7 linked regions of the Macaca fascicularis genome follow. Each later gene encodes a partner of the first gene's protein in a complex. Links are inferred from orthologs where the notes say so. Each region holds a gene or a part of one and is shown in the gene's direction. Other genes may lie near its edges.

Region 1 (3,500 bases):
ATGTTAGACCTTGTTCCTAGCCCGCCTTGCTGTGAGTTCTGAAACGTAACACAGGGTAAGCCACGGCCTGCCCATGAGGTAGTGAACCTGCTTCACCCAGAGACCCCTGTCCTCAGCCTTCTCTCCCCTTTTCTGCTCAGGGGCTATCCAGGTGGTGGTGGCTTCTCGGAGTCTCTGCTGGGGCATGAACGTGGCTGCCCACCTGGTAATCATCATGGACACCCAGTACTACAATGGCAAGATCCACGCGTGAGTACAGCTGGTGGTCTGTGTTAGCCCAGATCTTCCTAAAATGAGTGTGAATCTGCAGACACACAGAAAGCAAGCTAGGATGAAGGAAAGGTGTTAGGGAAGTTAACAGCTGAGATGCCACCAGAGCCAAGTATTTAGGAGTTTTGTGTCTCAATACCTAGGCTCACATTTGTTTTTTAGTCATTGTGCTTCCACATTCCGCAGTTGGGAGAGGTAGGCAGTTAGCGCCAGGAGGAATGTTTGACATTAGGTCATTAACCTCAAACATCTTGTAGATTAGGAAAAGCGACTTGGTCAAGGTCATACACCTATATAGTGACAAGAAGCTAGAAGAGTGCTGAGCGCGGTGGCTCATGCCTGTAATCCCAGCACTTTGGGAGGCTGAGGCAGGCGGATTGACAAGAAGCTAGAAGAGTGCTGAGCGCGGTGGCTCATGCCTGTAATCCCAGCACTTTGGGAGGCTGAGGCAGGCGGATCACTTGAGGTCAGGAGTTCCAGACCAGCCTGGCCAACACGGTGAAACCCCGTCTCTACTAAAAGTATAAAAATTAGCTGAGCGTGGTGGCACGTGCTTGTGCTTCCAGCTACTCAGGAGGCTGAGGCAGGAGAATCAGTTGAACCTGGGAGGCAGAGGTTGCAGTGAGCCAAGATTGTGCCATTGCATTCTAGCCTGGGCAACAGAGTGAGATTCCATCTCAAAAAAAAAAAAAGGCCAGGTGTGGTGACACGCGCCTGTAATCCCAGCTACTTGGGAGGCTGAGCAGGAGAATCGCTTGAACCCGGGAGGGGGAGGTTGCAGTGAGCCGAGCTCGCGCCACTGCACTCCAGTCTGAGCAACAGAGCGAGACTTCATCTCAAAAAAAAAAAAAAAAAAGTTAGAAGAGTCAATCATTCTCAGAAAAACATCTGCTTTTTTTTTTTTTTTTTTTTTTTTTTTTTTGAGACAATCTTGTTCTGTCATTTAGGCTGGAATGCAGTGGTATGATCTCGGCCCACTACAGCCTCTGCCTCCCAGGCTCAAGCAATCATCCTGCCTCAGTCTCCCAAGTAGCTGGGACTACCAGCATGTGCTGCCACTCTCAGCTAACTTTTGCTTTTTTTTTTTTTTTTTTTTTTTTTGTATAGATGGGTTTTCACCGTGTTGCCCAGGCTGGTCTTGAACTCCTGAGCTCAAATGATTCACCCACCCAAAGTGCCGGGATTACAGGCGTGAGTTATGGTGCCTGGCCCAATGCTTAATAACTTTTTCCCGAAATGCGGATTAGTTTGAAGTGAATTTTATTTACGGGTTCATTTTTAATGTTTGAGGCTGCTTCTAGGTTGGGTTAAAGTCAGGTGACTTGATGACTCATGAAATGCACAGCTGTGAAGTTTGGAAAGTGCGGCGGTGCGCACCTGTGGTGGCTGAAGTGCGAGGATCCCTTGAGCCTAGGAGGTCAAGGCTGCAGTGAGCCGTGGCTGTGCCACTGCACTCCAGCATGGACAGTAGAGCAAGATGCTCTATCAAAAAACAAACAAACAAATAAATAATTTTTTTAATTAAAGGAGAAAAGTTTGGGAAGTTTGACTTACATATTTGATCCTCGAATAGGAAGTTATTTTGGTTTTGGCATTAGATAGTTTTGTAGCTTGGTTCATGGCACTTGAGCAGCAAATTCATGGCCCTTACACTGAATGCTAAAATGATGTAGAGGCCAGCCAGTGAAGCCAGTTCTAAGTGCAGAGATTCATAAACAGAGTCGTGCTGTGATTTGACCATGCCTCCCCGTATTTACATTTTACTGTTAATTGGCGAAGGGAGTCGGGCCTCCTGAGCGTGGTCTCCGTGTTGAGGCGGCTTTTCCTTCTTTCCCCGCATCTGTCACCAGCTATGTGGATTACCCCATCTATGACGTGCTTCAGATGGTGGGTCACGCCAACCGCCCTTTGCAGGATGATGAGGGACGCTGCGTCATCATGTGTCAGGGCTCCAAGAAGGTCAGTCCTGGATTCATGCAGCCTCTTGGATCCAGAGCCTCAGAATGGATTCTTTAATCCTTTTGATAGACGTCTTCAGTAATTTTAGTCTCTTAACTTCTGTCTCTCTTATTTACACAATTCTTTTGTAACGAGCCTGCCACCCGTTTGGAATTTTGCTGCCTTTTGCTTTTGCTGCTGCCGTTGGCTCCACGTGTTGAGGGCTTTGCCCGCTAGTTGGTTCCCTCCTTCCTCACTGGGCTGCCCGCTGCTCTGCCCTTGTGACTTGCTGTGCCTCTGTTCCCACTGCGTATTGTCGCCAGTGACGCACTTTCTAAACCTGTAGCTTCTTCCATTTTGGTATTAGTTAGGTCTTGCACGGGGACCATGCCCTGTTGATTTGCCCTTGGCCCTTTGTGACCATGTTGTCACTAATTCTTGATTAATGCTGCTGCTTCTCCAACCCACAGGATTTCTTCAAGAAGTTCTTATATGAGCCATTGCCAGTGGAGTCTCATCTGGACCACTGTATGCATGACCACTTCAATGCTGAGATCGTCACCAAGACCATTGAGAACAAGCAGGACGCTGTGGACTACCTCACCTGGACCTTTCTGTACCGCCGCATGACACAGAACCCCAATTACTACAACCTGCAGGGTCAGTGGGCTTGGGAGCACACGTGATTCTTTGGTGCTTCCCACAGCCTTTGCTGGGCGTTTTCTCAAGGCTCCCCACTCACCTCTCACCTCCATAGGCATCTCCCATCGTCACTTGTCCGACCACTTGTCAGAGCTGGTGGAGCAGACCCTGAGTGACCTGGAGCAGTCCAAGTGCATCAGCATCGAGGACGAGATGGATGTGGCACCTCTGAACCTGGGCATGATCGCTGCCTACTATTACATCAACTACACCACCATTGGTGAGGCCCGGCACGGCCCGGGTCCTGTCTGTAGGAGCCTTCTCACACAGGGGTCAGGAGCCCACTGGGATGAGAGGTCTGCCCGTGTCCGTCAGCGGGATGACACTGCAGGGGAGAGCAGGGCAGCCCAGGCAGTTCTGCTCCTTCTCCGCTTGCTTTCGGCTTCTCTCAAATGTCCTTTTTCTGTCAGAGCTCTTCAGCATGTCCCTCAATGCCAAGACCAAGGTGCGAGGGCTCATCGAGATCATCTCCAATGCGGCAGAGTACGAGAACATTCCCATCCGGCACCATGAAGACAACCTGCTGAGGCAGGTGAGGACGGCAGCTTCAGGAGAACGTCCTGGGAACAACGAACTCTGCCTGTGTGCCC
Region 2 (3,941 bases), on another chromosome or scaffold:
AAGAACAGATTCTAGACCAGTCATTATAAGACTTATGCACGTAATACACAATTTTCAAAACTTTTTTTTTTCGCTCTTGTTGCCCAGGCTGGAGTGCAAGGCTCACAGCAACCTCTGCCTCCCGGGTTCAAGCGATTCTCGTGTCTCAGCCTCCCAAGTAGCTGGGATTACAGGCATGTGCCACCACGTGCAACTAATTTTGTATTTTCAGTAGAGGCGGGGCTTTCACCATGTTGTCCAGGCTGGTCTCGAACTCCTGACCTCAGGTGATCCACTCGCCTCGGCCTCCCAAAGTGCTGGGATTACAGAATTGAGCCACCGCACCCGGCGCCAAAATTTTCTTTTGAGACAGGGTCTTGCTCTCTCATCCAGGCAGGAGTGCAGTGGTGGGATCAAGGGCCACTGTAGCCTCAGCCTCCTGGGCTCAAGAGATCTTCCCAACTTAGCCTCCCGACTAGCTGGGACTACAAGTGCGCTATCACATGCAGCTAATTTTTAAAATTTTTTGTGGAGACAGTTTCCCTTTGTTACCCAGGCTGGTCTCAAACTCCTGAGCTCAAGTGATCCTTTCATATCAGTCTCTAAAAGTGCTGCCATTACAGGTGTGAGGATATATTTCAAAATTACGCACAGTTTTTTCACTCCCATCACTTTTTCTGTTATTCCCTAGAGAACTTAATTTTTGCCAATACGTCTTCTAAAATGTTACATTTCCTGCGGAATGCAAGAAACTAAACGCTTCATGAGCTAGTGGTGGCCATTACTATTTTTAATACTTCAAAAAAGCATTTCAATTTACTGTTCACTAGCACATTATGACATCATTCCCTTCCAGTGTTTGCTTGCTCATTAGATAATCCTGTTTCTATTTTGTTCTCTTGCCTTCAATATACAGATCGCAAATATTCCATTTCAGATGATGGATTAAAGATTCAATGAGGCTGCTGAAAAACACCTTTATATTTGAACGGTTTGGTCGGTAATACGCTTTCTCTTATTGCGGTTGATCTGGAGAGATTAATCTCTCACCAAAAGGTAAAATCCGGAGAAGATGAAATAGCAAAACTAAGGACCAATGGGAAGGGGGAGGCAGGGTTAATCGACAACCGTACTTAACACGACAGATTCCAAGGCTTCCATCAGATAAACAAAGGAAGCTGATTTTTCTACAGAGGCTGCAGGTGCGCAAGCTACCTGAAGTATTAGTATGCAAGCCCACTGAGCCTATTACCTTGAAAGCAGAGTCCAAGCACTGAATTTTTCTAGACTCCCATTATAGGTGGACACCCAGAAAGCCAGTGGAGACAATAATGGACGGGGAAGAGAGTGGGGCCGGTCTTCGATTCCTTCCTCCCACTCCACCAAAGCAGAAGCTAAAATCCTACAACCTACACATACCAATCTGCGCCTCCGCCGCTCATAACCATTTTTCAGGTGCAAAAGGAAGGGGTTGTGGGGGCTGGGCTTCATGTGGGGCGGGTGGGAGGAGTTGCAAAGGAGTCAGGTTGAGAGGCGAAGGGTCGCGGGCGCGGTGGGGAGGACTGCACGACGCGAGCTGGGAACACAGAAGGAAGGCAGGGGGCGCCGGGAGGCGCGAACGCCCGAACGGCCGGGGGCGGGGGCGGGCCCTTTCCTCACCTGGCAGCCCTTCTTATGGTGAAAGCCAACAACCACGATGTGCAGTACGGGCCCCCGGGGGGCGCCATCCCCGCCTCTCCTGGCCTTCTCCATGGGCGGCCGCCGCGGGCCCACACTACGACTTCGACTGCCAAGGGCAGCGGGTCTGACGACCCCACCGTGTGCGGAGAGCCGCGGACTTCGGGTGTCAGCGAGCGCAGCACATGAGGGCCGCACCGGGAGATCTGTGGAGGGAGAGCAGCTCCCGCCCCCAGGGCCGCGGCCGCCCTTCTCTCATCCGCTTCCGCAGCTTCCGGGCTGTCACCTGACGCGGCGGCAGCTGCCGGCGAGGCGGGGCGGGGCAAGGCCGGGAGGGCCCTGACGGCTGGGGGTTCTGAGAGACCGAGGTGGAGCCTGGGGGAGTTAGGTGGGGCTAGGAAAAAAGCGATCGACTGGACGGGGGCGGGGGGTCGGGGGTTCGGGGGGTCGGGGGGGGGACCGGAGGGGGCCTTGACGTGGAGCAGCGGGGTGGGGCTTACGTGACCCGGGCGGCTGGGCCTGCGGAGCCTGTAGTGTCCGCGGGACCTGGAGGTGCGGCGTGGCACACCTGCTTTTTCCTCCCTGGATTCAATCTCAAAGCACTTCCTTCTCTTTTGCCTTCTCATTTTCCTCCTTAAAGTTTTCCCCCTTCCCTCTTCTTTTCTGTTTTCCTTGCTTTTTCACATCTTTTCGATTCACTCTCCGAGTGTCCGATTCCTTCACCTCCTTGCCTTTGCCTCTGTGGCCTCCGTCCTTATTCTCAAATATGTAATAACGTGGAGCATACTGGTGAGGTTGCGTATCTGTGTATTCAGCCTTTAAATTACTTGCTTACCCGAGAATTCTTGTTTGTTTGTTTCTAGAGCTTTTTTCCCCTTCATTTAAATATTATGTGTAGCAATCTGAGACGCATTTAAAACCTGAAACCGAATATCCTTGACAATAAAGGAAGTTTACTTGGATACCTGTAAAATGGTTATTCTAGTCCTGCGATTTTAAAAGAGTATTATTTTCATTCCATCTCTTTTTGGGTTTAGTACTCTGAGCCTATTACCTTGAAAGCAGAGTCCAAGCCTCTCAACCTGACTCCTTTGCAACTCCTCCCACCTGCCCCACATGAAGCCCAGCCCCCACAACCCCTTCCTTCTGCGCCTGAAAAATGGTTATGAGCAGCGGAGGAGCAGGTTGATATGTGTAGGTTGTAGGTTTTTAGCTTCTGCTTTGGTGGAGTGGGAGGAAGGAAGGTCAATACAAAATATATGGGTTCTGTTGTCACCAGGGTTTTTTAATTACTGACTGTACTGCAATTTTTTTTTTTTAAGCAGTGAATCATGTCAATTTAAAGTGCATTCTAGAAACACTAGCAGATTTAACAAGTCTTATCTACGACAGTTTTCAAATAACCTAAAGGATAGGAGTCTGCTTCAAGTAGAATTAGAGATTACTACAGTAACTATGATATTTTGCACTTCTGGTCTTGAAAAATAAGGAGCTCTGTTCTAATCTAAGCATAGCGGAGAAAAACAGTAGGCTTCCTAAATCAAATTTAGTTTCTGTGATTCAGTAGAACTGTTTTAATGCTAATACTGTAGACATTTTTCAAGATGTTGCTATACATTTCTGTATTACAAAATTATTGGCATTGGCTCAGAAAACTGTAAAACTATATTGCTCCCTGTATGCAGAATATATTAACTGTTTTCTTAATATATTAACTGTTTTGAGATGTCAACTGTGTGATGTGTTAACTATTAACATTTTCTTGATATAAACTGTCTTGGTATTTTCCACAATTAACATGGCTAAAATTACTGTCTAATGAACACCTTTTAAAGATATCTATAAGGGCCGGGCGTGGTGGCTCACGCCTGTAATCACAGCACTTTGGGAGACCAAGGCAGGTGGATCACCTGAGGTCAGGAGTTCTAGACCAGCCTGGCCAACATGGTAAAACTCCATCTCTACTAAAAAATACAAAAATTAGCCGGGCGTGGTGGCAGGCACCTGTAATCCCAGCTACTCAGAGGGCTGAGACAGGAGAATTGCTTGAACCTGGGAAGCGGAGGTTGCAGTGAGCCAAGATTGCGCCATTGCACTCCAGCCTGGGGGACAAGAGCGAGACTTCCTCTCAAAAAAAAAAAAAAAAAAAAAAAGATGTATGCAAAAACAGGGCCAGGCACGGTGGCTCATGCCTGTAATCCCAGTACTTTGGGAGGCCGAGGCGGGCAGATCACTTGAGGCCAAAAGTTGGAGACCAGCCTGGGCAACATGGTTGAAACCCCATC
Region 3 (3,928 bases), on another chromosome or scaffold:
TCTCTGTCACCCAGGCTGGAGTGCGGTGGCGGGATCTCAGCTCACTGCAAGCTCCGCCTCCCGGGTTCACGCCATTCTCCTGCCTCAGCCTCCCGAGTAGCTGGGACTACAGGCACCCGCCACCTCGCCCGGCTATTTTTTTGTATTTTTTAGTAGAGACGGGGTTTCACCGTGTTAGCCAGGATGGTCTCGATCTCCTGACCTCGTGATCCGCCCGTCTCGGCCTCCCAAAGTGCTGGGATTACAGGCGTGAGCCACCGCGCCCGGCCAATTTTTTTTTTTTTTTTGAGACGAGTCTCGCTCTGTCGCCCAGGCTGCAGTGCAGTGGCATCATCTTGGCTCCCTGCAACCTCCACCTCCCGGGTTCACGCAATTCTCCTTCCTCAGCCTCCCGAGTAGCTGGGATTACAGGCGCCCGCGACCACGCCTGGCTAATTTTTTTTGTATTTTTAGTGAAGACGGGACTTCACCATGTTGGCTAGCCTGGTCTCGAACTCCTGACCTCACACAATCCATCCACCTTGGCCTCTCAGAGTGCTGGGATTGAAGGCGTGAGCCACCGCCCTCGGCCTTTTTTTTTTTTATCAGCTGAATTTAAGATTAAAAACATTTTTTAATTTTATTTTTTGAATTTTATGTTTTTACTTTAACAAATATAGAAAAGTGCACACTTCATAATCTTCACAAACTCCCCACAATTCTCGATAGGATGTGTGTAGAGGGCACGAACACATCACGCTGTGGACGGCAGGGTTATGGAAAACAAAACCTTTTGAGCTCAGACGCCGAGTGCCTCCACCCGCCTAGCAGCCCAGGCTAGGGTCCGCGCCTGCGCAATGGGAGCCGGCCGGCCCTGGAAGAAGTCGGAACGAAGGAAACCCCGCCCCTTTCCCGGCTTCCTCCTCCCCTCGGTTTTACCCAGCTTGCGCTCCCCAGCCGCAAGTCGGCCGCGCTTTACCCTTCAGCGCTTGGAGGGTTCTGCGTCCCTTCCCGCTGCGCCTGCGCGGTCCCGCCTCGCCCCACGCGCGGGCTCGCGCTTCGGTTCTCCCAGACCTGGTCTCAGCATCCGGCTCTTTTCTCGCTCCGGCCCGCTGCCCGCTGCGCCAGCACCATGGTGGGTACCGTGACGTCAAAAGGGGTCGCCCTCGGGGATCTCGGACGGTTGGGGCAGGGGGGTCTGGCCTTTGTCCCCCTAGGCTGGAGTTAGGTCCGGAGTTTTTATCTTCATCGTTAGTCCTGTTCCTCAAGTTCGTTGAGGAGACACCTGAGAGCAAATGGGATTTTTTTTTCCATGATGAGGAAAAAAACCCCAACCCTGAGAGAGATTCAGTGGGGACAGCGGGAGACGGAAAAGTTAGACCTTAGAGCACTTCTCTGCCAGGCAAGCTTCGGCAGGGTGCGGGTGGGATGTTTTCTGTAATTCATTGAAAGGAGTGGGCAGGTACCCGAGAAAGGTGGTCGATTGAGAGAGCACACTGGGGAGGCCGAGGTATGCAGGGCAGAGCCTCTCTGGGACTTTAAGTGATGGGCTCAATGCAGTGTGCAGAATAATTTGGGCTCCAGCCTTTCACCTCTCAACCAATTATTCTTTCCTGTGAAATTTTGAGAACTGTTAGGGATGCAATGGGGTTCACAATACCGGTATTTGGTAATACTGTCAAGGGACACTCCTCCCTACCATGTTCCTTCCCACATGATGGTTTTCCCCCTCTCTCCCAATAGCTCTTCTATTCTTTTTTCAAGTCCCTTGTGGGCAAGGATGTGGTCGTGGAACTCAAGAATGACCTGAGGTAGGTACCTGTTCCAACAAGTCTGTTGGGGGTGGGTGTGCCCAGGGCCCTGGAACCTCTTTAATTTGAGAAATATTTGAGGGCTGGGTGAGGTGGAATATGTACAGAAGAAATAAATGGCCGGGTGCGGTGGCTCACGCCTGTAATCTCAGCACTTTGGGAGGCTGAGGTGGGCGGATCACGAGGTCAGGAGATCAAGACCATCCTGGCTAACACGGTGAAACCCTGTCTCTACTAAAAATACAAAAAATTAGCCAGGCATGGTGGCAGGCGCCTGTAGTCCCAGCTACTTTGGAGGCTGAGGCAGGAGAATGGCGTGAACCTGGGAGGCAGAGCTTGCAGTGAGCCCAGATCACGCCACTGCACTCCAGCCTGGGTGACAGAGCGAGGCTCTGTCTCAAACAAACAAAAGAAATAAATGGGTGGGGTGCAGTGGCTCACGCCTGTAATCCCAGCACTTTGGGAGACTGAGGAGGGAGGATTGCTTGAGCCCAGGAGTTTGAGGCTGCAGTGAGCAGTGATTACTCCATTGCACTCTAGCCAGGGCAATAGAGCAAGACCCCATCTCTAAGACAAATTTTAAAATTTAACAATAAATAAATGCCTTGTGCCTTAAATTTACAGATAAGCTTGGGGATTGTATTGTGTATTGGAAAACAATACAAAGCAATATACAGTTTAAAGAGTAAATACTGGTCAGGTGTGGTGGCTCATGGGCTGGACGTGTGGCTCATGCCTGTAATCCCAGCACTTTGGGAGGCCGAGGTGGGTGAATCACGAGGTCAGGAGTTCAAGACCAGTCTGGCCAAGATGGTGAAACCCCGTCTCTACTAAAAATACAAAAATTAGCCAGGCATGGTGGCAGGTGCCTGTAATCCCAGCTACTTGGGAGGCTGAGGCAGGAAAATCGCTTGAACCTGGGTGGCAGAGGTTGCAGTGAGCTGAGATTACGCCACTGCACTCCAGCCTGGGTGACAGAGTGAGACTCTGTCTCAAAAAAAATAAATAAAGAGTAAGTACTAGGCTGGCCATGGTGGCTCACACCTGTAATCTCAGCACTTTGGGAGGCTGAGGCAGGAGGATCACTTGAGTCCAGGATGTCGAGACTAGCCTGGGCAACATAGAACCATTTCTATAAAAGATTAGCCAGATGTGGTTTACATGCCTGTAGTCCCAGCTATTCGGGAGACTGAGGTGGGAGGATCACTTGAACCCAGGAGGTCGAGGCTGCAGTGAGCCATGATTGTACCACTTTACTCCAGCCTGGGTGACAGAGGAAGACTGTCTCAAAAAAGAACAGGCCAGGCCAGGCGCAGTGGCTCACGCCTGTAATCCCAGCACTTTCGGAGGCCGAGATGGGCGGATCACGAGGTCAGGAGATTGAGACCATCCTGCCTAACATGGTGAAACCCCGTCTCTACTAAAAATACAAAAAATTAGCCTGGTGTGGTGGCGGGCGCCTGTAGTTCCAGCTACTTGGGAGGCTGAGGCAGGAGAATGGCATGAACCCAGGAGGTGGAGCTTGCAGTGAGCCAAGATGGCACCACTGCACTCCAGCCTGGGCGACCAGAGCGAGACTCCATCTCAAAAAAATAAACAAAAAAACAGAACAGGCCATAGGCTGGGCATGGTGGCTCATGCCTGTAATCCCAGCACTTTGGGAGGCTGAGGTGGGTGGATCACAAGGTCAAGAGATTGAGACCAGCCTGGCCAACATGGTGAAACCTACGTATTAGATATGCTACTGTGTATCTAATACCTAGTATAGGCCAGTTGTATGATAGGTGCTTAAGGAAAGAAAAATAATATCTGAAGACCTATTGACTAAGCACTATTCTGAATACATTTATTGATTGATTTCTCAAACACTCCTTAGTAATATGTACTATTGCTGTTATACATATGAGGAAACTGAGGCTTAGATCAGCTATACCACTTGTTCAAGTCTACAAAACTAGTAAGTGATACAGAACAGAAATATGATTATGTCCAGCTTTTTTCTTTTTCTTTTTTCTTTTTTTTTTTTTGAGATAGTCTCGCTCTGTCGCCCAGGCTGGAATGCAGTGGTGTGATCTCTGCTCACTGTAAGCTCTGCCTCCCGGGTTCATGCCATTCTCCTGCCTCAGCCTCCCCAGCAG
Region 4 (3,500 bases), on another chromosome or scaffold:
AAAGAGGTAAGGTTATTTTTAAAAACTGTTCTAAGAGACGATTTGGTTATAGGACTAAATGGGGAATTATTTGTGGGAACAATAGTATTGTAATTTTTTTCACTTTTTAGTTTTTTGATGTGTTTTTCTATAGTTCTCTGTTGAAATAACTGAATTTGGCTAACATTTTATTTGCTTTGAACTGTTAATACTTGCTTTAAACAATGAACAGACATTTTATATCACTGTAGATACAAAATATTAAAGCAGTGGTTTCAGCTAATTACATCAATCTGTGAGAGTGGTGCCCAGGCCTGCCATTTTTGTTAAAAGCTCCCCAAGTAGTTCTAATATGAGCCAAAGTTGAGAAGGAAAATTCCATTTCTCTCAGATTTAGAGTTATTACAGTTTATATCAAAGTAAAATGCTTAATTTGCTTTTGTGATAAAGAGCAATAGAAGGTGAGATTTCTAAAAATTGGGCCTCTAGGTATGCATTTCAAATGTAGACTTTATTTTATTTTATTTGTTTATTTATTTATTTATTTTTTGGAGACAGAGTCTCACTCTGTCGCTCAGGATCTACGGTCACTGCAAGCTCTGCCTCCTGGGTTCACACCATTCTCCTGCCTCAGCCTCCCAAGTAGCTGGGACTACAGGTGCCCGCCGCCATGCCAGGGCAAGTGTTTTGTATTTTTTAGTAGAGACGAGGTTTCACCATATTAGCCAGGATGGTCTCGATCTCCTGATCTCGTGATCCACCCGCTTCAGCCTCCCAAAGTGCTGGGATTACAGGGATTACAGGCATAAGCCACCACGCCCGGCCTCAAATGTAGACTTCTTAAATGATCAGGATCAGATTGTGCTGCCTAGGTAGTCTTTTTTTTTTATGTCATTTATATAATCATTTTCCATTTCCTAAGCACAAATAAAGTTAACATCTGAGTTAGCTTTCGAAAGACACCTTTTTGTGGGATGGGGTAGGGGCTACTATTACAAATCATAAACTGAGGGTTATGACATTCTCTTATACTTACTCCAAGATGCAGAAAGTGCTTTTCACATGGTTTTACTCGTATTTTACAATGTGATTAAGGGAGGCTCAGGTAGCTTAATTTCTTATATGTACATTTTTTACCTGAAAACATCTGATTAAAGAGGCATTATTTATTAATAATTAAAATCCATGGGCACAGTTTTGAAGCCGCCTTTAGTTTTTCAGTTTAGGCTGGGGACAGTGGCTCACACCAATAATCTCAGCACTTTGGGAGGCTGAGGTGGGAGGCTGAGGTGAGCAGACTGCTTGAGCCCAGGAGTCTGAGAGCAGCCTGACCAATGTGATGAAACCCCATCTTTACCATAAATATACAAAAATTAGCCAGGCGTGGTGGTGCACTCTTGTAGCTACTTGGGAGGCTAAGGTGGAAGGATCACTTGAATCTGGGAGGCGGAGGTTGCAGTGAGCCAAGATCATGCCACTGCACTCCAGCCTGGGTGACAGTGTGAGACCCTGTCTCAAAAAAAAAAAAAAAAAAAGGTTTTCAGTTTGTGCTTCCACCCTTCCTTCCTTCCTTCAGTTGCAGCTGAACTGAGGCATAGACATAGATACGCAGCTGTCTCAGCCAGAGCTGATTACATTTTAAAGAAAAACGTGTGAAGTCCAAATTCTAGGTCCAGAAATAGTAGAACAACAAAAAAAAAATGTTAAATACAGTTTACTATAGTTTCTAATAATTTTCCATTTCAAATGAAGACTCTTTGCTTTGGCTTATTGTACACTCTCTCTGATAGTGTGTTTGCCTTTCCTTTTTCTCCTAGGAAATTGAGGATTATACTGCTTCCTGCTCATTTCTCCAAATGTTTTCATCCCCCCAAATCTATCAAACATTATCAGTGTTTCAAGAATGCAAAACCAGGATATCTATCTGAATCTGTAATATAACAAGTGACTTTAGATCTATAAAGGAATGTTAAAGTGGAGCATATGTTCACTTTTCTTCCTCCAAATTTTTTTTCTTTTTAAGTAGCTTTAGAAATTTTACTCTCATCAGTGTTTGAACAGAAAACTTCACTCTGTGCCTAGGTCATAGGCTGGACCTTGAACTTAAGCCAACTCTGCCTCAAAAGCCGCATCAAGGATTGAACTATTGGATGTAGTCTTACCTCTTCTAATAGCTTTACTCCTGTGCTATAGAAACTAAATTTTAATGGTTCTTTTTTTTTAATTAGGTAATTTCATCTGTGCCAAAGCATCCAGAGGACAAGCCGGAAGATGTACATACAAGTCATCCATTAAAACAAAGAAGAAGAATATAGAGTGCCAGCAGCAAATTAGTACTTCCTGAAAAGAACATTTATTATTTATTTTTAGCCTGTCATTTTAATTCTTCTAGAGATTTTACTGCTGGTATTTTTTAATGCACTCCTCTTTGTAATTTCATTCAAGCTATTTATCTAAAGTCATTTCTTTCTTTCTTTTTTTTTTTGGGAGATGGAGTCTTGCTCTTTTGCCCAGGCTGGAATGCAATGGCATGATCTCAGCTCGCCGCAACCTCCACCTCCCGGGTCCAAGCAATTCTCCTGCCTCAGCCTCCTGAGTAGCTGGGATTACAGGCGTACACCACCATTCCTGGCCAAGTTTTGTGCTTTTTTAGTAGAAATGGGGTTTCACCATATTGGTCAGGCTGGTCTCGAACTCCTGACCTCGTGATCCTCCCACCTCGGCCTCCCAAAGTGCTGGGATTACAGGCATGAGCCACCATGCCTGGCCCATTTCTTTTTTTTTCGACCCATACTTAATGTTGCAGAAACTATTCTTGTCATAACATTACCTCTCATGTACAGTAATTATATGTAAATTAATTGAAGCAAATATGGAAACTACAATAACGATAGGCAACCAGCATCTGTTTCTGATTATAATACAAGTATTGAATGAGCCATTGAAACACTAGAAGTCAGGGTGTTTCCGAATGCCAGGATTTCAAAATCAAGACAGTCTGTGAGGTAAAAAGTAGATTAACTATTAGAACAAAGCTGAAATTAGAATCTTATATGCTTTCATTAACTTTTAAGAAGAATTTGCTTGACCTGTGGCAATCCAAAAATAAATCAGTATTTATAAATTTTAGACTTCTGTTACTGCTTCTGGCATATCCACACTTTTTTCTGTCAGTGGGTCACATAATTGGAAATTTCAGTACATCTAGGCTGTCTCCATTTTCTTTTTCTTTTTAGTAGAGACAGGGTCTCATTGTGTTGCCCAGGCAGGTATTGAACTCCTGGGCTCAAGTGATCCACTCACCTTGGCCTCCCAAAGTACTAGGATTACAGGTGTGACCCACTACACCTGGCCATTTTCTTTACCGGTAAAAATAACTTGAGAAGGTCCATACCATGGCATGTTGTTTTCATTTCTCCCTATCTTTAATGGCCTCTTGCCTAGTAGATTGAATTTGAACATACCAGTTAATAAGGTTCTGTTTCAGCTATGATTTACTTGTAGCAGGACAAGCCGCAGAC
Region 5 (3,927 bases), on another chromosome or scaffold:
AAAGATTCTCTTGTCTCAGCCTCCAGAGTAGCTGGGACTACAGATGCACACCTCCACACCTGGCTAATTTTTTGTAGAGATGGCAGGGTCTCACCATGTTGCCCAGGCTGGTCTCAAACCCCTGTTCTCAAGAGATCCTCCTGCCTCAGCCTCCCAAAGTGCTGGGATTATAGGAAGAGCCACTGCACCTGGCCTTGCTTACTTTTAAATAAGCAGCCACCAGTGATTTTCTCAAGATGTTAGCAAAAATGCAGAAAACAGTTTGCCTGTTCCTTAGTTTGGAGATTTTGTCTTTAACAATTTTCCCCAGTTCCCCAGTTTCTTCCTGCCTAGAGGTCTTCCCTTATGCCTGACCTGTCTTCACTCCTGCTGCAGGCAAACCAATCCTAGCAAAGGTCACTTTTTTGTTTGTTTGAGACAGAGTCTTCCTCTGTCGCTCAGGCTGGAGTGCAGTGGTGGGATCTCGGTTCACTGCAAGCTCCGCTTCGCAGGTACAAACGATTCTCCTGCCTCAGCCTCCCGAGTACCTGGGGCTGCAGGCGCACGCCACCACACCCGGCTAATTTTTATATTTTTAGTAGAGACAGGGTTTAGCCATCTTGGCCAGGCTGGCCTCGAACTCCTGACCTCAAGTGATCTGCCCGTCTTGGCTTCCCAAAGTGCTGGGATTACAGGCGTGAGCCACCGCGCCCGGCCAACACGGCTAATATGCTTCATGAGCATGGACCCCATCTTCCAATCTGAAATAGAATTTCGGTTGTCCCTTACTTTGTAGAGTTTTTGGCTCTATAAAACTTCCATACTTTATTTATTATGTATCCTGTCCCTCCCCCACCGCAAAATGTAAATTTGGTAAGGAACTTTTGATTTGTCCTCTGCTAGATCCCAGCGACGGAAAGCAATGAGCACACATTAGGCCTCCATTAAATTGATTTCACTTGTTGAATGAATGCGTTAGGGAAGCACTCACGAACTGACCATCAGGGGGCGTCAGAGAAACTGGATAGAGGCGGAAATGAAGAAAAAAGAATTACTCCGAACTTTCAGGCATGGTTCCGCGAGGTTTGAACTCGCTCGGCCACCGTAGTGCTTAGAGGCCGGAAAAAGTGCAGCCCCTTCCGGGCTTTGCGGTACCGGACGACGGCTTTGGGATGTCGGAAATTGATCCTAGAGGTCCCAAGGTAGCCGCCTTGCGAAGCTGAGGCTCCAGCCGAGGGCTCCAGGCCTCCGACCGGCCCAGCAGTGAACGGGGCTGCCCGACGCTTCAGGGCTGGGAGCAGGGAGCGTGGGTCGCCATGGCGACGCCGGCGGGGCTGGAGCGCTGGGTTCAGGACGAGCTGCACTCGGTGTTGGGGCTGAGCGAGCGGCACGTCGCCCAGTTCCTGATCGGTACTGCACAGCGCTGCACGTCGGCCGAGGAGTTCGTGCAGCGCCTACGAGACACTGATACTTTGGATCTCAGTGGACCGGCCCGGGACTTCGCCCTGAGACTCTGGAACAAGGTGTCGGCAGGGTGGGGAGGGGTCCTGTGATTTGTCCCGATGAGGCTGGCCTAACGGTCCATCGAGGAGTTAAGAAAGCTCAGTTCACAAGCACTTATTCTTTGTCCGTTGTCGCCTAGGTACTGTGCTAGCTGCTGGACGCCCAGCTCAGTGGAGAAGATTGAGGAGGGCTTAGGTGTGTCGGGTTAAACGCAATAGAACGGTGTTTTTCGAACTCTTAACATGCATCCAGGGCCCTTGTTAAAATGCAGATTGCGATTCAGTAGGGATCTTAGTTTCTGCATTTCTTTCTTTTTCTTTCTTTCTTTCCTTTTTTTTTTTTTTTTTTTTTTGAGAGACACAGCCTCGCTCGCCCTGTCGCCCAGGCTGGAGTGCGGTCATAAGATCACGGCTCACTACAGCGTCGATCTCCCTGGCTGAAGCGACCCTCCCATCTCATCTTCCCCAGTAGCTGGGACTATGGGCATGCGCCACCACCCCCGGCTAATATCTTTTATTTTTATTTTTATTTTTAGAGACGAGGCCTTGGTGTGTTGCGCAGGCTGGTCTCTAACTCCTCAGCTCAAGCAGTCCTCCTCTCTCAGCCCCGCAAAGTGCTGGGATTACAGGCGTGAGCCACCTTGCCCGTCCCCCCTCAGCTTCTGAACTTCCTTTCAGCCGTTTAATTAACAGAGGAGGCCCGGTGCAGTGGCTCACACCTGTAATCCCAGCACCCCAGAAGGCTGAGGCAGGAGGATCATTTGAGCCCAGGAGTTCGAGACCAGCCTGGGCAACATAGTGAAACCTCCCTACAAAAAATTTAAAAATTAATTGGGCGTTGTAGTGTGCACCTGTGTTTCCAGCTACTTAGGAGCCTGAGGTGGGAGGATCACTTGAGCCCAAGAGGGACAGAGTGAAACCCTGTCTGTAAAAAAAGCCAAAAAGCTGTGGGCCCCATTCAGGATGATAAACATGGGGTGAAGCCATGAGGAAGACAGAATGAAGGCTGGTTAGCTGGTTTAAAACTAAGTAATTGTGCCCGGGTGCGGTGGCTCACGCCTGTAATCCCAGCACTTTGGGAGGCCCAGGCAACTGGATCATGAGGTCAGGAGTTTGAGACCAACCTGGCCAACATGGTGAAACCTCATCTCTACTAAAAATACAGAAATTAGTCAGGTGTGGTGGCAGGCGCCTGTAATCCCAGCTACTTGGGAGGCTGAGGCAGGAGAATTGCTTGAACCTAGGAGGTGGAGGTTGAAGTGAGCCGAGATCACACCATTGCACTCCAGCTCCGGGTGACAGACCAAGACTCCATCTCGGCGGGCGGGGGGAGACTAAGTAATTGCTTAAATTAGGAACAGAGCTAGAGCTAAGTGGGAGGGCAGAGATCAGGAGTTGCTCAGACCTCCTTATCTTCCCCTCTACTGACAGGTACCACGAAAGGCAGTGGTAGAAAAGCCAGCGCGGGCAGCAGAGCGAGAGGCCCGAGCCCTGCTGGAGAAGAACCGATCTTATAGGTTGTTGGAAGACAGTGAAGAGAGCAGTGAGGAGACTGTGAGTAGGGCTGGAAGCAGCCTCCAGAAGAAACGTAAAAAGCGGAAACACCTCAGGAAGAAGCGTGAGGAAGAGGAGGAAGAAGAGGAGGAAGAGGCTTCTGAGAAAGGGAAGAAGAAAACAGGGTAAGTCAGAAGCAGGGCGAGGGAGGATGGGGCAGGCTGAAGTGTGCTCAATGCCCTTATTTAATCCCCTGGATGGGCTGCAGGGGGAGTAAACAGCAGACAGAGAAGCCAGAGTCAGAAGATGAGTGGGAACGGACAGAGCGTGAGCGCCTTCAGGACCTGGAGGAGCGTGATGCCTTTGCTGAGAGGGTTCGACAGCGGGACAAGGATCGGACTCGAAATGTCCTGGAGCGGTCAGACAAGAAGGTGAACAGGAGCAGCACGTTCTGTAAATCCCCAAGATCCCAGGGTGAAATGTGAGGTTGGCTGTGATTGCAGAGATGGTGATCTCTGGGAAGACAAGGGGCTTTCTCTAGTGAGATGTTCCCCTCTGTGGGGAGAGATGAGGTGAGAGAAGCCCTGTGCATCCTGTGGCTAAGGCAACTCTACTGTACCTGCAATCATACAGATCCCTCACTGAGAGGGGACATTTTTTGTGTTAGGGTACATCTGAATGATCCTTGTGATTCTAAAGAGGAGCAGCTGTCAGTGTGGGGGCTCTTTGGCCTCACACCCCTCTATTCTTGTTTTTTTTTTTTCTAGGCTTATGAAGAAGCTCAGAAGCGCCTCAAGATGGCCGAGGAAGACCGGAAGGCCATGGTGAGTCCCAGGGCCCAGGGACCCAAGATCAGAAGACAAAAGGGAAGACCGTCTGATAGAGTGGTTACGTATAGGGAGAGAGAATACAGAGGAAGCACGGTGTGGATGCTGATGGAGTGGTCAGGTCT
Region 6 (3,982 bases), on another chromosome or scaffold:
GGTTGGGGTTTTTGCAGAATCTTTGTGATAGTTTTCATTATCAGATATTTATGCATGAGAACCCTCTTGTCATGGTTTTCTCCGACTCTGTCCGGGTTTTTTTGTTCTGTTTTTTTTTTAACACAAGTGACTCCAATTAGATTAACAACTTTTGCATTCTCAGGACACTCACAGCCTAAGCCACCTCTCTACCCCTACGTTGTCAAACGCGATGGGAGTGTAGTAAGGCCACCTCCTTCCCTGGTGCTTTGTTCCCTGTAACCACGAGTAGTAATCCATCACACACCTGCTTCCCGAGAATCCTCGAGAAGGAATCGGCCGAAGGGCTTCAGCATCCAGAAAGCCCCGAAAGCGCCACAAACAAGGCTCTTCCTCGGGCTCCCCGGTGCTGCCCCGGGCGCGCGCCATCCACCCGGCTGACAAAAAGCACCAGGACATGACCCCGTCCCCTTTGATTTCTGTCCAGAGGTGGCGGACTCACCTCGGGGCTGGGATAGAGGACGGGTCGGGGTCGCTACGCTTTTTGCAAAAGGGTCAAAAGACTGATGGGGGTGGGTAAGGAGCTGACGCCCGCGCTCTAAAGGGGCGTCCTGGTCAAGGAGGCTGGGCCGCGCCCCGCCAGCCATGGGGATCCTGGAGGTGCTTCTGCCTCGACGTCCTCCCAACATGGGTGCTGCCAGACTCCGTTGCGCTCCTGAGTTGCTCCTCACGTCATTCCAGCCGCCCGACATGGGTGCCTCACTTTCGGCTTCTGGGCCACGTCGGGGCGGCGGAGGACCCGGGGGGCCGGGCGGGAGAGTGGGAAAGGTGGGGCGGGAAAGCCGAGAGAGGCCCTCACCCGCCTTCCTGTTGGCGGGGGCGGCAAGTGGGTTTCTTTCTTGCGTTCAGATTTTGCAATAATTTGCAGCTGGACATAGGATATGGGAGACAAGGCTGCTCCTCGCAGTACACCCACCCACGCCCATACCTCCCTCGGCGAAGCGTGTCGCAGCGGGTTCCAGCGCAGGCTAAAGAGCTTCCGCAGCCAGAAAACCGAAAGCGCGCCGCGCACGCGCGCCAAGGAGTTCGGCGACGGCCCCGCCCCTCGCCTGCCTCGTCCCGCCCCTTCCGCGCCTTGTAGGGTGGGGACAGCGCGGCTTCCGCCGGGAGCCTGGAACCGAGCCCGGCAGCCGGGGGCTGGGCGCCAGTACCCACTCCGCCAGCCCCAACCCGCAGACGGTTCCCTGTCTCCCGCGCCCCAATTTCGATTTTCAGACCCAACTCCTACAGGATTCTGAGACCCCGGCCCATCTCCCCACATTCCATTTCCAGCTGCAAATTACTGCAGAGTCTGAACCCAAGAAAGAAACCCATTTGCCGTCCCCGCGTCTTCCCTCGCCAGACAGGTGGAGAGTGGGTGAGGGTCTCGCTCGGCTTTCCCCCTGCACCTTTGCCACCCGCCCGCCCGTCCCTGGGGGTCCTCCGTCACGCCGGCCATGGCCCAGAAGCCGAAGTTGGACCCCCACGTCGGGCGTTTGGGATACCTGCAGGCGCTGGTCACGGAATTCCAGGAGACCCAGAGCCAAGGTGAGAGCCACGGTGGGACCAGGTGACAGGGTCGGCTGTGACCGCCGCCCGGACCTGGCTCCAGTGCCGCTTTCCCGTTGCAGACGCCAAGGAGCAAGTCCTCGCCAACCTCGCCAACTTCGCTTATGACCCCAGCAACTACGAGTATCTACGGCAGCTGCAGGTCCTGGATTTATTTCTCGATTCGCTGTCGGAGGAGAACGAGACCCTGGTTGAGTTTGCTATTGGTAAGGGCTGGGCCCGTTCGCTAGATGGCTAAATGGGCCGGGGTGAGATAAGTGAGTTACAAGTGAGTCCTTGGGGCCTGGCGTGGTGGCTCACACATGTAATCCCAGCACTTTGGGAAGCCGAGGCGGGGGGATCACCTGAGGTCAGGAGTTCGAGACCAGCCTGGCCAACATGGCAAAACCTCGTCTCTACTAAAAGTACAAAAATTAGCTGGGCATGGTGGCGAGTGCCTGTAATCCCAGCTAAGCGGGAGCAAAAATTAGCCGCACACAGTGGTGTGCACCTGTAGGCCCAGCTACTCTGGAGGCCGAAGCAGGAGGATTGCTTGAGTCCGGGAGGCAGAGGCCAAAGTGAGCTGAGACTGCGCCACTGCACTCCAGCCTGGGCGACGGAGTGAGACCATGTCTCAAAAAAAGATGTTTTAAAAAGAGCAGTTTTGTAGCCAGGCGCGGTGGCACACGCCTGTAATCCCAGCACTTTGGGAGCCCGAGGCAGGCGGATCACCTGAGATCAGGAGTTCGAGACCAGTCTGGCCAACATGATGAAACCCCGTCTCTAACTAAAAATACAAAAATTAGCCGGGCGTGGCGGGCGCCTGTAATCCCAGCTACTCGGGAGGCTGAGGCAGGAGAATCACTTGAACCCGGTAGGCAGAGGTTGCTGTGAGCCGAGGTGGCGCCACTGCACCCCAGCCTGGGCAACAGCGAGACTCCGTCTCAAAAAAAAAAACAACAACAATTTCAGGTGGGTGAGGTGGCTCACACCTGTAATGTCAGCACTTTGGGCGGCCGAAGCAGGCAGATCACTTGAGTCCTGGAGTTCAAGACCGGCCTGGCAAAAGCCCATCTCTGCTAAAAAAAAAAAAAAAAAAAATTAGTCTGGCGTGGTGTCCCAGCTACTCAGGAGGCTGAGGTGGGAGGATTGCTTGAGCCTGGGAGGACGAGGCTGCAGTGAGCTGGGATTGGGCCACTGTACTCCAGCCTGGGTGACAGAATGAGAATCTGTCTTAGAAACAAAAGTAACTCATATTTAGTGTTTTCATATCAGGAGAAGCAGAGATGGCTTGCAGTCTGTAACTTACGGCTTCTTTTGTAGTTATGATCTTAAGACCTATTGATTTATTCACTGGGCAGATATTTACTGGGCATGTACCGTATATGTAAACTACTGCTCTAAATGCTGGAGTATGGTGAACAGGTTAGGGAAAGTGTTTGTCCCTCAGGAGCTTACATTCTAGTAGGGGGGACAGGTGGTTAGCAAACAAAAAAGATGATGCTCAGCAGCAAATAAATGGGGTGATGAGAAACAGCAGTAGAAGGTGGTGGTTACTTCCGTTTTGGCCATCATGAGAAAGGCATTTTAGCAGGGACACAGCATGGGCAAAGGCCTTAAAACAGGAAGGAGCCAGAAGGAAGATGAATGTGGCAGGATCGTTATAGTGAAGTGGAGAATGGCACAAAAAGAGGATAGAGAGTTAAGCGGCACCAGAGCTTGCCGGAGCTTAGATCTAGGCCGTGGGAAATAGTTTGAAGCAGACAAAATTTTGAGAACAAACAAAAATCCCTGTTTCAAGCCATGCACAGTGCTCATCTGTAGCCCCAGATAGGAGGATCGCTTGAGCCCAGGAGTTTGAGGCTGTAGTGTGCTACGATTGCATGATTGCACCTGTAAATAGCCACCGCACTCCAGCCTGGGCAACACGCGTGTGATCACCTGGCTGAAGTCTTGTCAGGCTTCTCCACTGTAAAATTACTCTTTCTTTCCCCTCTTTACGTATTATGTATTATACCCATTGGAAGGAAGTCACTACATAAATTATCTTAAATCTTTTTCTTTTTTTTGAGATAGGGTCTCACTGTGTCACTTAGGCTGGAGTACAGTGGTGTGATCATAGTTCACCATAAATTTAAACTTCTGGGCTCTAGCAGTCTTCCTGCCTTAGCCTCCCGAGTAGCTGTGACTACAGGTGGACACCACCATGCCCGGCTTTTTTTTGTTTTTAATTTGTTTTCGAGAGGATCTCACTGTGTTGCCCAGACTGGTCTCGAACTCGGCTTTTTTTTTTTTTTTTTTTTTTTTTAATTTGTTGTCGACACACGGTCTCACCGTCTTGCCCAGACTGGTCTTGAACTCCTGGCCCCAAGAGATAAATCGCTTGTAACCCTAAACAGACCCTCATTTCATAACA
Region 7 (4,017 bases), on another chromosome or scaffold:
TTCTTTCTTTCTTTCTTTCTTTCTTTTTCTTTTTTAAGACAGAGTCTCGCTCTGTCGCCCAGGTTGGAGTGCAGTGGCGGGATCTCGGCTTACTGCAAACTCTGCCTCCCGGGTTCAAGCAATCCTCCTGTCTCAGCCTCCTGAGTAGCTGGGACTACAGGTGCCACCACCAGCCCGGCTAATTTTTGTATTTTTAGTAGAGACAGGGTTTCACCATATGAGTCAGGCTGGTCTCAAAGTCCTGACCTCAGGTGATCCACCAGCCTAGGCCTCCCAAAATGCTAGGATTACAGGCATGAGCTACCACGCCTGGCCAGTAGGCACTTTATGTCTATTATTTACTATTGTAGACAACTGACACTCCTTCCCCCGCCCCCGACCCTGACTTTTTCTTTTTTAGAGACGGGGTATCGCTCTGTCACCCATGCTGGAATGCAGTGGCGCAATAAGAGCTAAGTGCATCCTCGAACTCCTGGGCCTCAGGCCATCCTCCTGCCTCAGCCTGTGGGCTAAATGAAACTACAGGTGCACGCCACCACACCTGGCTGATTATTTCTAAATGATTTACTTCATCAACACTTCCCACATGAGTAGGGCACACAGTAGGCGCTCCATAAATACTTGTCAAACGCCTACACGAAGGAATCAATGCCTGGCAAGAATGAATCCACCTTCCACCATGCCTACCTCGCTAAAAACTACATTTCCGGCCGGGCGTGGTGGCTTACGCCTGTAGTCCCAGCACTGTGGGAGGCCGAGGCAGGCGGATCACGAGGTCAGGAGATGGAGACTATCCTGGCTAACACGGTGAAACCCGTCTCTACTAAAAATACAAAAATTAGCCGGGCGTGGTGGCGCATGCCTGTAGCCTCAGCTACTCGGGAGGCTGCAGCAGGAGAAGCGCTTGAACCCGGGAGGCAGAGGTTGCAGTGAGCCGAGATCACACCACTGCACTCCAGCCTGGGCAACAGAGCAAGACTCCATCTTTAAAAAAAAAAAAGAAACAAAAACAAAACAAAACAAAAAAAACTACATTTCCCTGTGCACTTGGCGCGACGCACTCCCACGACGTTTGAAAGAGCGACAATTACTTCCCACGGCCCCTTACCGCCCCCTCCCGCCGGTGCCACAGTGGTTGATGGGAAGGTAGTTTTTACGCACTTTGGCCGGCCCCTAGCCATCTGAACCCAAACTAAATTTCCCAGCAAGCAGCGCGCAGGCCTGGGAAAAGGGGCAAGATGGCTGACTCCGAAGAGGGTGTTTTGCCGCTGACGGCTGCTTCCACTGCCCCAATTTCATTCGGCTTCACTCGCACGTCCGCACGGAGGCGGCTGGCCGACTCGGGAGACGGCGCGAGGCCATCTCCGGAGGAGAAGGATTTCTTGAAAACCGTGGAAGGGAGGGAGCTGCAGAGGTGACGCGCCGGGTCTTTCACACCTTGGAAATCGCTGCGGTGGGCGTAAGCGGGAGGGAGGAATCTCACTCAGTCGTTTGTCTTGGTGACAGTGACCTGTTAAGCCTGAAGCACAGCCTGAGTAAATTCGTGGAGGCCAGAAGGCTGGAGTTTATAAGAGGGGTGGGGAAATTGGGCCTGATAGCCGTGGGAATTGCGAAGAGAGGATGTATCACTGAGAAGAAGTGTCTTTAGGACTTGAGGACACTGAGGTGTGTGCGTTTTGGGAGAAGGAAAGAATGAGAAAATGACAGGACCTGCTAGTGTCTCAGCTGAAGTGGTGGGGCTTCTCTGATATGGGGAACGGGATGGAGCGGCAGATTCAGGTTGATGGAGGCCACCATCAGCTTAATGAGGAGAGGAGAGTCTGAGGGAGGGATTTCCAGAAGAGAATCAGGCATCTGGGAAGCTGTTTGGGAACCTGGAGCTAGGGAGGGTCTAGGCTGAAGATAGTGATTTGTGGGCCATTGTGGAAGCCGGTCTTGAGTTAAACAGAGAGTCCAGGACTTATTTCTCGAAGGCACTGACATTTACGAGTTGGGGGCACTGGGGGGGATAATCCAAAGAATGCACGATCAGAGAGGTACAGGAGATCCAGACATGGAGTAGAGAAGGCATGGTCTGTGGGGCTGGGGTGAGTTTGGCTCTCGTGTTTTCTCTGAATAAAGGAGTGTGACCCACTGACACTGCCATTCTCCCAACCCCACCCCTCTGTGTCCACATCAGTGTGAAGCCCCAGGAAGCCCCCAAGGAACTCGTCATCCCTTTGATCCAGAATGGCCATCGCAGGCAGTCACCAGCCCGGCCCCCTGGGCCATCCACAGATACTGAGGCCTTGGCAGATGGGGTGCTGTCCCAGGCTGTGAAGGAGCTCATTGAGGGTGAGTGATGCCCCTTTACCCTTCCCCAGTGAAGGAAGAAGATGAAGAAGGTGGAAGGATAGAGTGGGACTTCATTGCTCCCTCCTATTCTTCCCTTAGAATCCAAGAAGTCTCTGGAAGAGAGAGAGAATGCGGGTGTCGACCCCACGCTCGCTATCCCCATGATCCAGAAAGGATGCACCCCCAGCGGGGAAGGGGCAGACAGCGAACCCCGGGCAGAGACAGTGAGCTGGCCCCTTGTCCCCCTCCTGCCCCAGCCTTTCTTTGCCCTGTCTGCTAGGCTTTGTCCCTGCACATAGCAGGGAAAGTCTGTGTGCTAGAGGCCCGCCACCTGTCCTTTCTCCTGTCATCCTTTTTGGAAGCATTACCAAATGAATCTGGATATCTGGATGCTAAAAACGTACTTGAATCCTAGGATTATCTGAATGAGGTGTGCAGCAAAGGGAACAGGAAATGTAAAGGCCCTGAAGGTAGACACTGCCTAGAGTGTTTGCGGAACACCAAAGAGACTAGTGTGACTGAAGTGGAATGAGTGAGGGGAAGGGATAGTAGACGAAGTCAGAAAGGAGATGGGGGTGCTAGACAAGGCAGGGCCTTGTAGGCCATTGTGAGGACTTTGGCTTTTACTCTGAGTGGGATGAGAGCCTAGGCAAGCCCTGAGCATAGATGAAATATGATTTATGATTTGACAGCATCCCTCTGGCTGCTGTGAACAGACTCATTAGTGAAGGTGGAAGCAAGGGGATGAGTAGTCCAGGCTAGAGATGCTGGGGACTTAGACCAGAGTGGTCTGGAAGGATAAGTAGGGTTTAGTGAGAGGGAAGAACAGAGTGAGTGTTCCTGTTGGTAGTAACAGCCCAAGCAATGGCATAGTGGCAGAAAATCGATGTGGTGTGTGTCCATCAGTGAGGCAACATGTGGTGTGTCTGGAGTGAATGGGAAGGAGTGATGATGGAAGGTGACGAGGAGATGTGAGAGGCGTGTCTACAGGAGTAACCAAGTCTGTCTTTCATACCCACAGACCTGACTTTTCACCTCTTCTTTCATAAATTTCTTGCATTGCTTCTTTGGAGTCTAGTTCTCCTACAGCCCCAGAACACTCTCTTTCAACTGAACTGTTCTCTTCAGCCTTCAGATGTGCTCTGATTTCCTTCAACTTTTTTTTGTTTGTTTGTTTTTTGTTTTTTGAGACAGAGTCTTGCCCTGTGGCCCAGGCTAGAGTGAAGTGGTACGATCTCGGCTCACTGCAACCTCCCGCTCCCGGGATCAAGCGATTCTCCTGCCTTAGCCTCCCAAGTAGCTGGGATTACAGACACGTGTCACTACCGCCTGGCTAGTTTTTGTATTTTTAGTAGAAACGAGGTTTCGCCACGTTGGTCAGGCTGGTCTTGAACTCCTGACTTCAGGTGATCTACCCACCTTGGCCTCCCAGAGTGCTGGGATTACAGGCATGATCCACTGTGCCCAGCTCCTTCATCTTTAAAGAAAAAAAAGATCCTCACTTCCCTCTTCATCCTTTCATCCTGTTCCAGCTTTAACCTCATTCCTCTAATTTTTCCCTCTATAAACCTCCTCCTGCAGCTTTATACATATCAGGTGACCAAAAATTCCATCCATCCTTCCTCTCACTCAGCATAAAAACCTTGGAGTCGGCCGAGCCTGTAATCCCAACACTTTGGGAGG

The links.
Region 2: SNRNP200 (region 1) and LSM5 share a complex: the UniProt entries of both Homo sapiens proteins name them as parts of the U4/U6-U5 tri-snRNP complex. The link is inferred for Macaca fascicularis from reciprocal best matches to the Homo sapiens genes SNRNP200 and LSM5.
Region 3: SNRNP200 (region 1) and LSM2 share a complex: the UniProt entries of both Homo sapiens proteins name them as parts of the U4/U6-U5 tri-snRNP complex. The link is inferred for Macaca fascicularis from reciprocal best matches to the Homo sapiens genes SNRNP200 and LSM2.
Region 4: SNRNP200 (region 1) and RBM48 share a complex: the UniProt entries of both Homo sapiens proteins name them as parts of the minor spliceosome. The link is inferred for Macaca fascicularis from reciprocal best matches to the Homo sapiens genes SNRNP200 and RBM48.
Region 5: SNRNP200 (region 1) and DHX16 share a complex: the UniProt entries of both Homo sapiens proteins name them as parts of the minor spliceosome. The link is inferred for Macaca fascicularis from reciprocal best matches to the Homo sapiens genes SNRNP200 and DHX16.
Region 6: SNRNP200 (region 1) and ARMC7 share a complex: the UniProt entries of both Homo sapiens proteins name them as parts of the minor spliceosome. The link is inferred for Macaca fascicularis from reciprocal best matches to the Homo sapiens genes SNRNP200 and ARMC7.
Region 7: SNRNP200 (region 1) and GPKOW share a complex: the UniProt entries of both Homo sapiens proteins name them as parts of the minor spliceosome. The link is inferred for Macaca fascicularis from reciprocal best matches to the Homo sapiens genes SNRNP200 and GPKOW.

Annotation. Positions count from the first base shown.
Region 1 is NC_088387.1:1,362,617-1,366,116, reverse strand, and holds part of SNRNP200 (U5 small nuclear ribonucleoprotein 200 kDa helicase), read left to right. Parts: intron 1-140; coding exon 141-249; intron 250-2,120; coding exon 2,121-2,229; intron 2,230-2,678; coding exon 2,679-2,868; intron 2,869-2,965; coding exon 2,966-3,130; intron 3,131-3,320; coding exon 3,321-3,442; intron 3,443-3,500. UniProt on the Homo sapiens protein: Catalyzes the ATP-dependent unwinding of U4/U6 RNA duplices, an essential step in the assembly of a catalytically active spliceosome. Plays a role in pre-mRNA splicing as a core component of precatalytic, catalytic and postcatalytic spliceosomal complexes.
Region 2 is NC_088377.1:97,812,674-97,816,614, forward strand, and holds the start of LSM5 (U6 snRNA-associated Sm-like protein LSm5), read left to right. Parts: upstream 1-1,141; 5' UTR 1,142-1,310; coding exon 1,311-1,434; exon of another isoform or gene 1,435-1,443; intron 1,444-1,638; coding exon of another isoform or gene 1,639-1,731; exon of another isoform or gene 1,732-1,913; intron 1,914-1,937; exon of another isoform or gene 1,938-2,044; intron 2,045-3,941. Other genes in the region: late secretory pathway protein AVL9 homolog, read right to left, coding at 1,639-1,731. UniProt on the Homo sapiens protein: Plays a role in pre-mRNA splicing as component of the U4/U6-U5 tri-snRNP complex that is involved in spliceosome assembly, and as component of the precatalytic spliceosome (spliceosome B complex).
Region 3 is NC_088378.1:139,906,455-139,910,382, forward strand, and holds the start of LSM2 (U6 snRNA-associated Sm-like protein LSm2), read left to right. Parts: upstream 1-1,128; 5' UTR 1,129-1,291; coding exon 1,292-1,381; intron 1,382-1,722; coding exon 1,723-1,790; intron 1,791-3,928. UniProt on the Homo sapiens protein: Plays a role in pre-mRNA splicing as component of the U4/U6-U5 tri-snRNP complex that is involved in spliceosome assembly, and as component of the precatalytic spliceosome (spliceosome B complex).
Region 4 is NC_088377.1:128,829,428-128,832,927, reverse strand, and holds the end of RBM48 (RNA-binding protein 48), read left to right. Parts: coding exon 1-6; intron 7-1,796; coding exon 1,797-1,907; 3' UTR 1,908-2,207; coding exon of another isoform or gene 2,208-2,294; 3' UTR 2,295-3,103; downstream 3,104-3,500. UniProt on the Homo sapiens protein: As a component of the minor spliceosome, involved in the splicing of U12-type introns in pre-mRNAs.
Region 5 is NC_088378.1:141,982,697-141,986,623, forward strand, and holds the start of DHX16 (pre-mRNA-splicing factor ATP-dependent RNA helicase DHX16), read left to right. Parts: upstream 1-1,127; 5' UTR 1,128-1,295; coding exon 1,296-1,502; intron 1,503-1,621; exon of another isoform or gene 1,622-1,677; intron 1,678-2,912; coding exon 2,913-3,160; intron 3,161-3,243; coding exon 3,244-3,406; intron 3,407-3,742; coding exon 3,743-3,799; intron 3,800-3,927. UniProt on the Homo sapiens protein: Required for pre-mRNA splicing as a component of the spliceosome. Contributes to pre-mRNA splicing after spliceosome formation and prior to the first transesterification reaction.
Region 6 is NC_088390.1:81,488,916-81,492,897, forward strand, and holds the start of ARMC7 (armadillo repeat-containing protein 7), read left to right. Parts: upstream 1-1,182; 5' UTR 1,183-1,475; coding exon 1,476-1,566; intron 1,567-1,649; coding exon 1,650-1,793; intron 1,794-3,982. UniProt on the Homo sapiens protein: As a component of the minor spliceosome, involved in the splicing of U12-type introns in pre-mRNAs.
Region 7 is NC_088395.1:49,285,877-49,289,893, reverse strand, and holds the start of GPKOW (G-patch domain and KOW motifs-containing protein), read left to right. Parts: upstream 1-1,217; 5' UTR 1,218-1,238; coding exon 1,239-1,414; intron 1,415-2,179; coding exon 2,180-2,334; intron 2,335-2,433; coding exon 2,434-2,558; intron 2,559-4,017. UniProt on the Homo sapiens protein: RNA-binding protein involved in pre-mRNA splicing. As a component of the minor spliceosome, involved in the splicing of U12-type introns in pre-mRNAs.